Linked DNA regions of Mus musculus: region 1 is reported to be linked to region 2. The links are microRNA targets in miRTarBase. Many come from high-throughput screens and were not tested one by one. Region 2 holds a microRNA gene; the other region holds the end of a gene's coding sequence.

Region 1 (3,407 bases), not on the chromosome of region 2:
GACTTGCTTGGGGTTGGTTACCCAGCTAGCAAAACCAGTCACTTCTCACTGAGAAAAGGAAGGCATTTCTCTTAATACTTGAATCTGTAACCAGTTCTTTAGCATTCTCTCATGTTGGCAGTCTTGAGACGGAATGAATGGCTGTGTAGAAGAGAAGGGAAGAAAATTGGGAAGCTACAAGGTCTCACATGTCATACCAGAAGCCTAAACTGTTTGCAGAAGCTCTGTTGGGATGAGAAAGCTAGCAGGAAGTCTCTCTTCTAGCCCCCACAGAAGCCAGGGGTTTAATTTCCTCTTAAAGCGGAACCTTTATATCTAGAGTTAACACAGCTCTTTCTGTCCCCTAACCTAGGTCTGCTTCAAGTACTTTTGCAGAAGCTGCTGGCACTGGCGACACAGCATGGAAGGCCTACGCCACCATAGCCCCCTAATGAGGAACCAGAAGAACTGAGATTCCAGCTAGAGGAGCTGGCCTTGCCCAGTGTCCTGTGGTGCCAAAGGCTGTCAAGTCAGGCAGCAACTCGCTGCACAGGCGCCATGGGAGCTAGCTTTGCGCAGACAAGGGAGAATCGTAGTCACCTTTGTACTTGCTAACTCTGTCTTTGTTTCTGCACTAATTAATGCACAATGAGTTTTGTCAGGTCTTGTTTTCAGTGGGGTGTGCCAGAGCAAGGACCCTCGGCTCACCCTCAAGCAATTGTAGTTTTCCCAGATTCTAGTTCCTCATTTTGCAAATGAAAATAACAACAACAACCACTGTGTCCAGAAGGTCTGACACAGATGCCTACACTTGGGTTTATTTATTAAAGCGCTTTTTACATTCCTTGCAATACTGATGGTGGTGATGCGCAGGTCTCATTGGTTCGTTCATTCTGCAGTTGCCATACAGTGCCTTTCCATTGATTTAACCCCCACCTGAACGGCATCAATTGAGTGTTCAGCTGGTGTTTTTTACTGTAACAAACAAAGGAGACTTTGCTCTTCATTTAAACCAAATCATATTTCATAGTTTACGCTCGAGGGTTTTTACTGGTTCCTTTTTACACTCCTTAAAACAGTTTTTAAGTCGTTTGGAACAATATATTTTTTTTTCTTTCTTGGCAGCTTTTAACATTATAGCAAATTTGTGTCTGGGGGACTGCTGGTCACAGTTGCAAATCAAAGCATTTGTAACCAAGAGAAAAATTATTTTATTTAAAACTGGACCGGAGGAAAAGTCTGAGCAGCTGCTGTATATAGTTTTAAATGGTTTGTGGCACCTTATGTTGCACTTATGTTGGGGGAGGGTTGATAGAAGTTTTTAATCACAGTCACAGGACTTTTTCTTTTGTAACTGAGCTTAAAAATTAAAAAAAAAAAAAAAAGGGCTGCTTTTTGGTGGGGGCAGGTGAAGGCTCACAGGAGCCCTTTCTCTTAGAGGGGCAAATACCCTTCCTTACAACTTTTATTTGACGAATGTATGAATCAACAGTTACAGTTGACAAAGACGCTACTGGAATTGAAAACTTGACTTTTCTTTTTAATTTAACGATTACTTGCCTCTCTTAGGGAAGCTGTGTGCCAAAGAGCCAGTGTCATAACCCCTCCCTCCTGCTGAGCTGATGTTGCATTGTTGCATATCCCAGCTACTCTGTGGGTTTTGTGAAGCTGTGTGTGAAGTCTCTACCTCATTGTTGTATATGCAGGCAAGACTGCACTCTCCTACAGATGTGTGGAGTAAGCTGTGGTGTAATTTTTTTGGCACATAATAAACACGTTGCAGCAGAGTTGTAGTTTTGTCTCTGTATCTGGGTGTGTGTGTGGTGGGGTGTGGTAGCAAGCAGGGAAGATTCCAGAGACCAGTCCTCTTTTCATGGATTTTCACTAATGGGATACCAGCCCAGAGGGATGGGAGGTACATGCGGAGACCTGCTCCTATATGGGACTTGTTACATCCTGGTCAGCCACTCTGGAGTGTCTAGTACCTGGGTGATTACAATCAGAATAGGAGGCCTGCCTGTACATTTTACTTCTTGGCCCCTCAAGGCCTCCTCCACATGGAGCCCTAGGAATGCTAGAGGCACAACTCCCAAGATGTCAGGAGCCATTTGCTGGCTGCTTTCCTGTGAGCCCTGACGTGTTCCTCCTTCCTCTTGGACACACTTGTGCTGATGTAATTCCTTTCTGAGTGGTTACTATTTTGCTTTTTTGATTCAGGGTCTTTCTTTGTGGCCTTGTCCTGGAACTCCTTATGTAAGCCAGCCTGGCCTCAAGCTCAGGAATTCTGCCTACCATTCATCCCACGTGCTGGGATTAAGGTATGCACCAGGACACGCTGCAGTGCTTTGTTTCTTCACAGCCCTTACACTAGCTTTTCTAACAGGCTCCATGGCTTCATGACAGGTCTGATGATTTTTCAAGTGGAGACGGCAGCATGCTGAACTGGTCCTTTGGGAAACTCTAGTCTGAGGGAGAGGGACTCCTAGGTACTTAAATCCTTGTAAGGTGCAAAAACTCACTACTCCTCAGAATCCAAGAGTTCTCTTCCTGCAAGACTGTAAGGTCTAGTCTTGCATCTGGAGCCTGGCCTCCACTTCATTGGGAATTCACTGGTAATGTACGATGCAACCCCCAGGGATTACAGACCCTTTGGTCTCTTCAGTATTCTTCCGGGTCCATGGTCAAGGACATCTTTTTTCCTCCCGCCATGAGCTACTTTTAGAGTAAGGACTTTCAGCTCTTCACCTAACCAGAGTGACGTAGATGAGTTGAAGGATGAAGCACAGCCTTGGCCCCTTGATACATGCCCTGTGGCCAGCACGGTCTCCTTAGGTTTGAGCGCAGGACCCTGTCCCAGGAAAGAGCTGGAGGAAAGGCCCTCTCTGGACAGATGAAGCCACTGGGTCGTAGCGTAAGAGCCTGCTTTGGGCTTGGTTATGGCAGAACAACCGGAAGAAGCTGAAGGTTGGAGATAGTGTCCCTACTAATCGGGAACAGTCTAGTTAACTGAGATCCTAATTTGTTGGTAAAAGTGTTTGAGACCTCTCTGTGAGCCAGCCACTGATTTAAGCACTCGAGGTTAGCCCTTCCTGTTTAGCTCAAACCTAGCTGAGAAAAGTAATTGTGCTCAGACATTTAAGAGCAGCTCGAATGGAATACTGTGCTGGGATGAGAAGAAAAGCCACTCTAGGTGATGTTTGCTGTGACACCAGGAAATGAGAGGAACCTCACCAATTAGGCTAGACCCTACTAATCTCTGACTAGAGGCGCGGGTAGGGTGGAAATCGGGGATGACCCTGTTTACTACTATGCCTTTCATAGCTCGGGCCTCCTTTAGGCTCCATCTCAGGACCTCAAAGTAACTCCTAGATTAAAACACACCGGACGCCCAAGAGAAGCACGGAACTATTTGGAGTGGAAACCAAGAC
Region 2 (3,407 bases):
AGGGAACAGTGAGATCCACTCAGACATCTCTCACAGAAATGAAGACTCATTCCCCTCCCAGAAGTCTCAGCAAACATCTCCCTGTGGGCTAAGGTCTCATCTAGGAATCAATAATGTCTGGTCAACTGGTTCCTTTGACACTGTGTTGTGGAGGAGGGAGGAGGGAGCAGGAGCCAACCAACCCAAACCCATTCTCATTAAGAAAGGTCAGAGGACCATTCAAGAAGGGAGATAAACTCACACAACCCAGGCTCACTACATAGACTACTTTCCTAGACTAACATGGCTTCCCTGAAGTCAGTAAGTAGTTGAACCCCCGAAGTCTTCAACGTAGAATAGGATGCTGAAAAAGAAGTGCACCGCGAATGTTTCGTCACATATAAAGCGAAAAACACGCGGGCAACTTCTCATTAAGCACCGTACGTCAGCAGCATGGAACCCTGTGTACCACTTGTGTACCGCTGTCGTCACTTCCTGTGGCTTGAGTACCGCTGTCGTCACTTCCTGTGCGTGAGCAGGCGATCACGCTGCAGCCCCGCTGTACCTAGGGGGCTCTCACAGCTGTGCCCGCTCCACGCAGGCAGAATCAGGATCTTGTAGACAGGCTTTGGATTGGTCATCCTTTGGGGAGGTCTTTGGAGTCTCCTCAAACATCAGAGAATGATATAATAATCCTGACTTTGCTTCCCAAAGTCCAGCTCTGGATCCGTGACAAGAGAGGAGGTGGGTCCCGTGACCTCTCAGTCGAGGTCACCACCCATCTGCTAGAGGGGAGGACATCAACCTATGTTCCACGGTGGAGGCCCTGATGCAAGGAGGTTATCATGAAATGGGAAACAAAAAGATATCTGAGCCTTTGTCAGAACGAGACAATGTCTCCTGGACAAAAATATATGTAAGTGGCATGTGGTGTTCTGAGAACAGATTCTGTTGACCCTCCACTTGCTGGGAAATGGAACATTGAGATTAAAAAAAAAAAAGAACATGAATAAAGATAGACTTCTTAGGTGTTCCAGGTAGATAGTTGGTTGCCTATGCTTGTACACATGTTCTCTCCCTCATGACATGGCTACAGGGCACCTCCCCACCCTTCATTGGCTTGACCAATGAAACATGAGCAGAATCACAGTAGTTCCTAATCTCAGTCGGAGAGTTCCTACTTACTTTCTATGTCTCTGCCATGGCTGCAAGAACCACTTGCCAGGAGCCTGGAGGAGGGGCAAGGAAGCCACCTTCACCCCCAGGGTAGCAATACATCAGGAGGTCGTCCTAGGTATGGAAGGCATACTCAGCATTAGTAAAGAAGGACACACATGAAAATATAATATATTCTTTCAGACAGAACACCATGACATACCTTTTCCATTGATGAGGACTCTGGTGTCCTTCCCTAAGGAGATGTCATATCTGAAATACATCTCCTAGTCAGGTACTTGTGCTGGGAAGCAGCCAATGATTTGAATCCTCAGAAGACAAGCAAAATTGAACAGACATGGAGATGAGCAAGAACAACGAAGCCTATGCCATAAGTGACAGATGTGGGCTTGATGCTGGGCTAGAGAGACCTGTCACTCACCCACCAGGAGAAATGTGCCCCAGCTTGGGATATAGCTTCACATTCAGGGGATCCTCCAGGATGGCGTTGTTTACTGCAAAGATACAGGATCATAAAATGAAAGTCACGCCCATGGTAGCCCCCCCCCAACACACACACACACACACACACACACACTCTCTCTCTTGAACACATATATGTACACACACAAGCAGAAAAAGGATCCCCCTTAAAAGCTAACTCTGCTTGAAATATTTTAGTTTCACGCTGGCCTCAACCCCACCAACATCTTCTTCATAGCTGCCGTGTGCACCAAGGTGTCTTCCCACAGATGGTCTGGGTGTTGGTGGATAGTAAAACGGGTGACCTACAGCATAAATGAAGTGTACGTCACCGGTCTACCATCCACACAGCTACCCCGAGAACAGTGGGCATCATTGTCCCTTCAGTCACGATGCTGGCACGTCCTTATAGCTACTGTGAGGAGGACCTTGCTGAAAAGCCATCACACACCAAGAGTCACCTCACAGTCCAAAGCCATAGGGAGTAGCCTCAGGCCACCACGGGGACCCTGTCCCTTCTTCAAATGACTTTCCTTCCAGGGCTGAGTCCTGATGCCATACTCCCATGTCCCATGTCCCAGAGTCCAGGGAACAGCAGTCCAGGTCCCTTCCCTGAAGGCGTCATCAGGGACAGGGAGTGCCCCCAGGGTGGGATTTGATACTAAAAAAGAGGTTTCCCGTGTATGTTTCATCATAAATAAAGAGAAGACAACACGGACAACCTCTCCTTCAAGTATCAATTAGCACTGGTCAGAAAGCAAACAAAGGCAGCTGGAAAGTGCCAGGTGCCTTGTCAGAAGTGTCTGCTTCTGTGGGCCCTGGAGAGCAACCAAAACCCCTGTGCAATTTGACAGTCCACAGAATTGCCTGAGACTATTTACCAACAACACAGACCACCTGCATTCCTTATCTCTCCAGGTTTAGGGGGGGTCACTGAAGGGAACCAGGGACCCCAGAAATTGTGCCTCAGGAGATAACAGGGGAATAGTAGCTCTCAACTTCAACAAGTACAGTACATTGGGGGTGTTCAGGAATGAGCCTCGGATTCTGGTTCCAAGAGGTAGGTGGGTGATGAGAAGCGACCCAGCCCTCTGGTTGTGAGTCTGGGTAGTTTCCAGGGAAGGTAAGATTCTAAAAGCAGACACATTATAAAGTTAGTAGGAAGGTAAATGTGTGCCAGCACATGTGGTAGTATAAAGAAGCAGCAGGCAGGGGCAGGCAGTTCCACCCCCTGGTCGAGTGGTTCTCAACCTTCCTAGTGCTGTGACCCTTTAATATACTTCCTCATGTTGGGTAATCCCCAACTGTAAAATTATTTTCAATGTTACTTCATAACTGTGATTTTGCTACTGTTATAAATCATAATGTAGATATCTGATATGAAATGCCTATGAAAAGGGCTCATGATTTGCAGATGAGAATTGTGTTCTACCTGGAACCCCACAGAAAGCTCTACTGCTGACCACAACCCTGGGTGGAGTTAAGGACTAAGAACAGATTTCACATCTTTTGTTTATTTGTTTGTTTGTTTGGTTGGTTGGTTGGTTTGGTTTTTTTCGAGACAGGGTTTCTCTGTATAGCCCTGGCTGTCCTGGAACTCATTCTGTAGACCAAGCTGGCCTCGAACTCAGAAATCCACCTGCCTCTGCCTCCCAAGTGCTGGGATTAAAGGCGTGCGCCACCACTGCCCCGCTCCAGATTTCATATCTTAAAGCTCACTGGGCAAATGTGTGTGCCAATTTCAGGTTTGCTTTCCTACTGCTAGAACACTGCTGATTCCAAGTCTCTTA

What was found. Region 2 holds the annotated microRNA mmu-miR-679-3p (AGCAAGGUCCUCCUCACAGUAG, at 2,030-2,051, opposite strand). A microRNA usually pairs through its seed, bases 2 to 8, with sites in the 3' UTR of a target mRNA and lowers its output. Matches are read on the target gene's strand: a 7mer-m8 pairs with bases 2 to 8, a 7mer-A1 pairs with bases 2 to 7 and ends in A, and an 8mer does both.
Region 1: the mRNA of Cpeb1 is a reported target of mmu-miR-679-3p. Seed matches in the 3' UTR shown: 7mer-A1 at 823-829.

Annotation. Positions count from the first base shown.
Region 1 is chr7:81,345,385-81,348,791 of GRCm38, reverse strand. Cpeb1 (cytoplasmic polyadenylation element binding protein 1) reads left to right here. Exons shown (of 12, transcript NM_007755.5): 12 at 353-1,766. The coding sequence ends at 451. Among named protein-coding and RNA genes, the nearest start is that of Rps17, 1.9 kb to the right of the region's middle.
Region 2 is chr12:109,714,268-109,717,674 of GRCm38, reverse strand. Mir679 (microRNA 679) reads right to left here and starts at 2,098; the gene lies at 2,025-2,098. It overlaps Mir494 (microRNA 494), which reads right to left and starts at 2,357; the gene lies at 2,273-2,357. Mir1193 (microRNA 1193) reads right to left here and starts at 2,004; the gene lies at 1,884-2,004. Mir666 (microRNA 666) reads right to left here and starts at 590; the gene lies at 492-590. It also overlaps Mir543.